2 linked regions of the Drosophila melanogaster genome follow. The protein of the gene in region 2 interacts with the protein of the main gene of each other region in a pairwise test. Each region holds a gene or a part of one and is shown on either strand. Other genes may lie near its edges.

Region 1 (4,823 bases), on a different chromosome or scaffold from region 2:
TTTCTGAGCAAGGCACAGGCACAGCGCTTCTGCTACTCCCACCAAACCCTGCCGGAGGACGCACAGTTGCCCCATTACCAGGAGGGCACAACGGCCAGTGGAACGAAGGCATTCTGGCACCGTCGGCTAGAGGATGTGCCCCAGGGATTCTCCCTAGTTCTCGCCCACGAGTTCTTCGACGCCCTGCCTGTGCACAAGCTCCAACTCGTAGATGGCAAGTGGCAGGAGGTGCTCATCGATGTGGCATCCTCTGATGGCGCACAAGAAGCTAGCTTCCGATATGTGCTCTCACGTAGCCAAACACCCGTTTCGAGTCTTTATCGACCGCTGCCCGGCGAGACACGATCCTGTTTGGAGCACTCCCTGGAGACGGAACGACAGGTGGGACTGCTCGCCGAGCGCATCGAACGGGATGGCGGCATCGCTCTAATCATGGATTATGGCCATTTTGGCGAGAAAACCGACACTTTCCGGGCCTTCAAGCAGCACAAGCTGCACGATCCGCTGGTGGAGCCGGGCAGTGCTGATCTCACGGCCGATGTGGACTTCAAGCTAGTGCGGCACATTGCCGAGACACGCGGAAATGTCCACTGCTGCGGTCCCGTGGAGCAGGGACTGTTCCTGCAGCGAATGCAGGGTGAGGCTCGACTGGAGCAACTGTTGGCACATGCGCTGCCCGAAAACCAGGAGATCATTCGCTCCGGCTACGAGATGCTCACGGATCCAGCCCAGATGGGCACTCGCTTTAAGTTCCTGGCCATGTTTCCCGGCGTGCTAGCTGCCCACCTAGACAAATACCCAGTCGTCGGATTTAGTTAGTTATCTATTTAGGATCTGTTTGTAGGGTTTTAAATATGTTGCACATGATTGTTGAACAAAAGTACGAATGTTATTTCTTCTGGAATGATGCATTGATCGCCTGCATCTCTGCGGCGGTGAACTGGAGCACCGCCGAGATGGCGTTCAGCATGTGACGCTTGCCGTCCGCGTCCCGGGTAACAATGTAGCTGATAATAACGTTCTTCAGGTACTCCAGATTGGCACCCTCGCGCGTCTTGCAACGTTCGAGTCTAGAATGGGAGTAGAGATCGTGGCATGACTTTCTAAGACAACAACGATAACAACGACAACGACGCACCTGTCCACCTGCTCCTTGAGGCACTCGATCTTCTCGTGCATTTCCTGCTGAGATGTCACCTTGTCCTGGATCGCCTTTCGCAGCGTCGACTCGGCGGCGTATTTGGCTTTCCGCAGTGTCGTGATTTCGATGTCCTTGCGCGCCAACTCGTTGGCATAGTGCAGCATGTGGCAGTTCTCGCCCATCGACATTTTCTTGGAGCGCACCTTTAGCTTTCTTTCCCGCTGCTCCCCCTCCACGCTGTCGGTGTCGGAGGAATAGTGAAAGGAATCGGCAGCTGCTTCAAGTGTGGGTGTGGCCAGTGTGCTGCCCACACCGCTGGCCGAGTGAAAGACCTCGAAGGAGGTCTGCAGTGTCTTAATCTCCTGCTCCTTCTCATCCAGCAGCTGCAGTGACCTCTGGCGCTGCTTCTGCAGTAGCTGTTCCAGCTCGTTCAGTTTGCAGCGCGTCTCGTTCTCCAGTTCAGCCTTGGCTTCCTGCCACTTGGTTCGTTCGTTCTTCAATGCCAGGCGCAGCTTTTCGCCCTGCTGCTTTAGTTCGACTTCCGCCTCGTCGATGTTGCGATTGAGCACCTGCACCTTCTCCTGCAGCGTTTGGATGTGCGAGTGCTGCAGCTGCACCTTCTGTTCGAGTAGCTGTCGCTGCTGCTTGGATGCCTCGAGCATTTGCTGCACACCCTGAAGCTGTTGCTCGCAGTGGGCGTGACTCTCGACTCGGGTAGCTGTTTGGCCGCTAAATGATAGGATCTCCCCGAGATCCAGTGGATTGGCAGAACGGGCATTGGCTGTGGTAAGCAGTTTCTTCAAGCGCACCATCTCGTCAACCAGCGTGGCTACGTCCACATCTTCGTTTAGCGCCCTTGAATTGGATGTTGGACGCACATGTGCCTGCTCTAGATCCTGCAGCTGCTGCTTCAAATCATGGATGCTGTCCTGATCTTGCTGACGCAGGCGGTCGTAGCTGCCGACAGTGGTGCTGAGCTCCGCCAGGCGTGCCTCTAGACTGGCCACGCGATCCTCGTGCAGCGCCGCCTGCCTGCGACTCTGTTCCTCGGCACGCAGCACGCGACGCTGTTCCTGACGAATGGCCACTGCATGCTGCTCCTTCAGTTGCTGCATCTCAAGGCGCACTTGCTGAAGGAGAGCGGCGCTGTCCGCACTCGCTGACGCTGCTGCAGAGTGCTCGGTCTTGGCCTGGAACTGTTTCAGCTGGGAGCGAGCCTCCTTTAGCTGGGATTGCAATTCCCGTAGCCGGCTATTCTCTGCCTCGTTGCTGGCGAACTGGGTCTTGAAGTTGTTTAACTGCATCTCAATGTTGTCCTTTAGATGCCGCTCGTCCGCATAGAGTTTCTGCAGTTCGCGGATCATGAGCATTTGGTTGTTGGTCTCTTTCTCGCGCTCCTGTCGCTCCACGATCCACTTGGCCTTGATCTCGTCCACGTCGCTTTTGGCCCGAGCAGCCTGCTCCTTGGCCCGGGTATTAAGCTCCTGAATGGTCTGCTCCTTTTGGGCGATTTGGCTGCGCAGTTGCTTTTTATCCGCCTGAAAGGAGGCCTCCATGCGGGATTTCTCAGCGGAAAGAGTGGCCAGCGAGTTCATCAGGGTGATAATTTGGGTCTGCAGTTGACCCTCGGCCGGGGGAGCAGGCGGACCCGGTGCAGCGCCCTCGGTTGCTCCATCCGCAGAGTCGGTGCTGGTTTTTTTGGACTCCAACTCCCTGGCCGGCGATCCGGACTCGCCCACCGCCGTGGCCTCCGCATGCGCCGCCAGACTCGTCTCCAATGCCTCCTTCTCCTTAAGCAGACCCTTGTAGGCAGTGACCACGTCTACAAATTGGGCTCATTAATCCATTTGCATTGCGAATTCATCTATGTCTCACCTTTTAGACGCTTTTCATAGCGCCCCAGTTGCTCCTTTTGGGTGGACACCAGCGCCTCCAGCTCCCTCTGTCGCTTCTCCATTTCGCCTTGAAAGGGAATTAGTTCATTTACTTTCAGTTCGCTTAGTAGTTCAATTTATTTATCTCCCGTGTCATTTTTGCATTTCTTTTAATTAACAAATTTCAGCAGCTGGCACGCGGGCCTGCCAACTTGTCATGTTTGCTCAGGCACTAAAAATTGCCATCATTCTGATTTAAACTTTTTTTTATTTTTGCGGTTTTTCAAAAAATAATTAATAACCAAATTTACATAAATTAAAAACTATTTTAAATGTAAATGTATTATAAATCAGCTGCATAGTTGCTAAATTGAGATATTTTCAAACATTAATATTAGTCCAATTAAAGTAAATTAAATGTTGAGCCTAACTAAATCTTATTTCATTCGCCCTCCTCGTCCTTCATCATCTGCTCAATGAGTCTCTTACGTTCCTCAGCTTGGCGCAGCTTTCGCATGACCAGGTCCTCGTAGTCGGTGGATGACGCACTGCACCCAGTGGTGGCCGATTTGGTTGTCTGCTTGTCTGCCGCCGGCGGCGTTACCCACTCGAAGTGCAGCGGCTTGGCGGGATCGCCTTTTTCGTAGGCCAAGACCATGTCGCAGGCTTCGCGCGTGGCCAGCTCCACCATGGCGCGTCCGCGTCGCTTGCTGTTGACCACCAGGGCCACCACGTCGCCGTACTTCTTCAGATACTTGAGCAGCTCTTGCTGTGTGTAATCCTGGCCAGGTTCGGCCTTCCACTTCATCTTGATGCGATGCTGGGCGGAATCAAACTGGACCGGCTGTTGCTGCAGTTTCTGTTGCTCCGCGTGATTCCGCCGGAACTGCTCCTGCATGGCTCGCTGCTCCTCCTCCAGCAGACGGGAGCCCTCGCGTCGCAACCGCTCGATCTGCTCATGCAGCACCTCCTCGTCGCTTTTGGCCACCGTGCTGTAGGGTTGGCTCTTCGCCAGTTTGTGCAGTGCCGCCCGTTCACGTTCCTCCAGTTCCAGCTTCAGCTTCTGCCGCTTCCCGTCCAGTTGGCGACTCCTCAGCTCCGCCGCCTTCTTGGCCTTCAGCACTTTGTCATAAGCTGCGCGCGCGGATTCATCCGTGAGGATCTCCAGAGCCTTGGACAACTCATGGAAGCGCTCGACTGCCTTCGGATTGTCCGGATTCTTGTCGGGATGGCACTCGAGGGCCTTCTTGCGGTACGCCTTGCGTATCTCATTTTGATCAGACTCGAGAGAAATGCCCAGAAGATCGTAAAGATTCACGTCACTGTACTTTTTGCTAGCCATTTAGTCTTATTTTACTCCTTATTCAACAACTGGAACATGGGTTTGTTTTGCAGTTTGTCTTTTTTGGGCAAAAGTTAGCTAAAATATACTATTTTATACGAGACTTATTTCACAACTGCAGCCGGCGGTCCAAAAATGTCCAAATAAAACATTTGCAATTGTTTACTGGATCAGCTGTTCGCTGCAACGAGTTGGCAGCCCCGCAACACAACGTGCCCATTTGTTTGGCGTGGATTAATCTAAGTTATCGCAAAAAAAACTCAAATATAATATGACCTTTAGGCGCTGAATTAAGCTGAAGGTACGTCATGAGCATCTATCACGACGAGGTGGAGATCGAGGACTTCGAGTACGACGAGGAGGAGGAGATGTACTACTATCCCTGTCCATGCGGCGATCGATTTCAGATCTCCAAGGTAACGAGTCGTATACGCAACCTTTTTTTTTCTGGACTCCCCATATCACT
Region 2 (4,293 bases):
GATACATCACCCACCAGAAAGGGCCACGTTCATGGTGCGTACATCGTTGCTGGTCAGAGCCTCCTGCGAGATCTCTTCATCCAGCTGGAGGAAGGCGTTCACCAGTTCACTGGATACATCCCGTTGCGGTGTCTCTAACAATTGATTGACATACTTGAGGAAACTAGCCTCGTACATGGGCTTGATCATGCTAACAAAGTCCACGTTGTCATTGTGGCACTTGAGGAACGACTGGCTGTCGGCACCCTGCTTCATCTGCTCCCGGAGCACCTGGCGCGGCAGCGTGGCCGCCGAAACATAGCGAAGCAGTCGCTTGGACACCACTTGGCCACATGCTGCTCCCGCATGCCCGTCGAAAATGCCACAAATGAAGCCGTTGCGGTGCAGGAAGCTGGCCTCCGTGCGGGAATCCTCGCAGGGCCAGTTTGATCCCAGCTGATTTGTTTCATAGCTGCGGATGACTCCATCCACGGGAAAGTTGTAAACGAACTCGTTCTCCCTCAGAACAAGGTTAACCTGTGAAAATAGTTTACATTAATACAGATTCTTACTCTTTATGTGGGAATTACAAAGGTTCCCATGGTAATAGTTATTAATCAGTTAATTCTTATTCGGTTCCTAAAAATTTTGTTCTTAAGCCGCTTGGTATGGACTCTTGTCCAGTGCAAACGATCAAATGAAATTAACTGCTCAGTAAAGGCATTATAAATGGTTGCTGTAGTTGAAATATGAATATGGAAAATCGAATACAGTCGGGTCGACGTCGTTCACTTTGTTTATAGGAAAACACTCGGGACTTTCTTGAAAGCCCTTGAAAGTAGTTATTGGATCTTCAGAAAATTATGCAGGCTTTATAGTTAAATTTTTAAACGGCTTAGGGATGTAATGCATAGATTTGTGGTTTCTAAAAGTAGCTTCAATAGGAAAAATCCAAAATAATTAATAAGTAAAGAAGTACTTTCGATCGAAGATCTTACAAACTGATTACATTTTACGAACCCTGCCCAGCTTGCTAATGACACTTGCCAGGAACCCCAAATCTTACATCGTATGGACTCAATTGAGGCAGTTGCGGCAGCAGACGCAGTGCATTCAAACTGAACTCCCGCACATTGGATCGCACGTAGCTGGCGGCGTCGTTCAGCACGAACTTGAACATCTATATGGAGATTTTGTATATGCTCTCGCCCCGCTGTGGCTATAATTAACGGTAATGATATTGGTTCCGTAACCAAATCGGGGGAGGAGTAGGCAAAGAAGATGGAGGAGAACGTGGTGGATTCCGTATCCCGGAGCCTCCGGCTGATTCACCGACTCCGGTTGCCGGTTGCTGACAAAGGGATCTTATTTTCCGCTGTTGCTTTTGATTGGCCGGCGGCTTGTTTGTACATTTGTGTGCTGTGAAATACGAAGCGGACGGTGTTCACGGAAAACAAACGTAAAAAGAAAATACAGTGCGTACTAGCGATGGGTTTTTCTCTGCACGAGACAGCCTAGAACGAAAATGAACACGCACGTCTTAATTTATGTGTCAAAGCACTGTACAAGGCCAAATCTTTTTGTGTAATTATTGTAAATTTATTAGCTTAATATGAAAGATTATTTTATTTTTTTTGTCATATTTTCTCAGAACAATTTAAACTAACTACATTTGTATGCATTCATCGTGTCACGCGAAATCGCGTTCTTTGACCATCTCTATTGGGCGGCGGTGCCAGACTGGCGGTGTTGCCATTAGCCGGTTACCGTTTTCAAGCCAAGTCTAGCTAGTTTTTGTGTACCGCCGAAAAATACATCTAAGCTTGTTAAAAAATCTGAAAACTGCCAAATTGATGTGAGGACACTATTTTTATTAAATAATTTAGAAGATATAACTGTTTAATAATGGTAATGAAATAATTTCATTGTGGCTACTATCGATTACTTTTGCTGGTCTGGCAACGTTGTCATTATCACACACACGCGCACGCATATGAGAAAAAAACACAAAACAAAACAAAATTCGAAGGAATTTGAATTCTCGAATATTTATAATTTAACAACCACCAGCGACAGCCGGAAATATCTCATTGCAAAGCCAGTAATCGTGTGAAGAACAGAAAGTTTCGATTTGCAATACAACTGCAGGAAATAAGAAGAAAAACGAGCAGCATAAGCAAATCAACGATTTGCGTATCAAACTTTACAAAGGGAAGGCAGATTTTTTGCTGCGGATTCAATTCCAAGAGACAAATCCCTCGAATTCGGCTTCGGAATGGTGGAACCCATTTTCGAGTATCAATTTCGACTGATTTTAATCGGCGACAGCACCGTGGGCAAGAGCTCGCTGCTCAAATTCTTCACAGACGGCAAATTCGCCGAGGTGCGTATGTCCAACGATTTTGGCCACTGTACTTGGACGCTTGGCCCACTGTGCGATCTTCGTGAGATGCAGTTAATGCGTTCATTACATAATTAAGTGATTGCATTGGGCGAGATACAACAAAAAATAGACAAAGGGAGTGGATTTTAAAAAGATGCTGCCTTAGTCACCTTGTCAGTGTGTGTGTGTGCTGGTGTGCATGTTTGTGTGCTCGCCTGATAATGCAGGCAGCAAAAACAACACACAAGTCCAAAATAGGACCAGGGATACTCAAATAACTGCGCGGGAAATTTAAAAACATAGAGATATCATGAATTGTGTGGAATCAAAAGTGTTCTCAAAAGCATTACAGCTCTAAACTGCGTTTCTTTTTACTGCCTCCCAAGAATCCACCTAATCATAAATAACACAATATTTACATTTTGCAGTTATCCGATCCCACAGTTGGCGTCGACTTCTTTGCCCGCCTCATCGAAATGAAGGACGGCACACAGATCAAGCTCCAGCTGTGGGACACTGCTGGCCAAGAGCGCTTCCGTTCGATCACCAAGTCCTACTACCGGAACTCGGTTGGCGTGCTGCTGGTCTACGACATATCGAATCACGCCAGCTTCGAGCACATACCGCTGTGGATGATGGAGGCACAGCGTCACATTGAGCCCCACCGCCCCGTTTTCGCATTGGTCGGCTGCAAACTGGACCTCATCAATGCGGGCGGACACCGGGAGGTGACCACAGAGGAGGCACAAAAATTTGCCAAACAGCACGGTCTGCATTTCGTTGAGACATCGGCCCGGTCTGGTGCCAATGTGGAGGAGGCATTTCGCATGGTCACCCAGGAGGTGTACGCCCGCATTCGATCCGGCGAATATAAGGCGGAGGATGGATGGGACGGCATCAAGTCTGGCTTTTCGCGACCCAATAGTCTGGACTTTAATCTCGTCGTAGCAGAGCCGGAAAAGTCATCATGTTGTTGATTCACCCCGACCTCATTGTCTATTATTTTCAATACTGTTTATGTACATTGATTTGTATCGTATGACCCACCAGTACTCCTTTTCCCCCCTAAACACCAATTTGTTGACTCTTTAATCTTGTTTAATCGTCTAGTTTAGCTAAAAAACCAAAACAGTTACGTATATTTACACAATGCGTTTTTTTTCTAATTACATATAGTTAATCGCTTTTAAGTTAATATTTAGTTCGGTGACTCACGGTAATTAGTGAAGATTGAGTTTGAACCCCTCTTTCCAAATTATGTTTACTTCGCCCCTATAATTGATAGCCAGTCACACGAGGTATACGTAGCCGAGATTCTGCGCTCCTAACTCATACAACACATAACTCCACATACACAAATACGAAAGGAAAAGCTATACATATACTTAAAACTTGAAATATAAACGTTTTTATTAATACGGACGGCATGCATTTGGTTAATCAAGGGTTAGCTTGGGCTTTGTTTTTGTCTAATCTAATCGATTTAGAGTTTTTATGCACATTTCTCCGCTTTGTTAAATCAAAGGAGTCTTGAAGCAATTGTCAAAAAAGCAACCTGTGTGATACACAAACGTTCGTAGCTGCACGGTTTCCAAAATTTACAATTTTACAATAAAAGAATTCGCGGCATATTTGGCGGCTGTTTACATATATGTGCTTTATTTCGTTTATTAAATTTTTCGCAAAGTTTAGTCCACTTGATAGATAACCCAAAACTTAGCTGCGACGATTTCTATTGTTGTTTTACACCTTCGTAGTTGTGCTCAATCAATCTAGATTTTGTTGGAAATTTCCATAAATATTGGTGGCCTCATCGGTCTGGCAACAACAGGTAATTCCTTTAATTCTTTAATCATTACTTGTTTCTTAGTAGTGCAAATTAAATAATGTAATGTAAAGAAGTTGGAAAAATCTTTTTCAAATTTGTTCGC

What was found.
Region 1: the proteins of Rab39 (region 2) and GCC88 interact in a two-hybrid assay, tested with the Drosophila melanogaster proteins (2 studies listed by BioGRID).

The regions. Positions count from the first base shown.
Region 1 is NT_033777.3:11,227,352-11,232,174, forward strand, and holds GCC88 (GRIP and coiled-coil domain containing 88 kDa), read right to left. Parts: upstream 3,250-4,823; 5' UTR 3,099-3,249; coding exon 3,017-3,098; intron 2,964-3,016; coding exon 1,139-2,963; intron 1,071-1,138; coding exon 890-1,070; 3' UTR 820-889; downstream 1-819. Other genes in the region: CG17726 (uncharacterized protein), read left to right, coding at 1-819; CG17187 (uncharacterized protein), read right to left, coding at 3,458-4,357; Dph3 (diphthamide biosynthesis 3), read left to right, coding at 4,666-4,773.
Region 2 is NC_004354.4:7,732,974-7,737,266, forward strand, and holds Rab39 (Rab39), read left to right. Parts: upstream 1-1,949; 5' UTR 1,950-2,254; coding exon 2,255-2,362; intron 2,363-2,790; coding exon 2,791-3,339; 3' UTR 3,340-3,783; downstream 3,784-4,293. Other genes in the region: Pdp (pyruvate dehydrogenase phosphatase), read right to left, coding at 15-516, 1,046-1,159.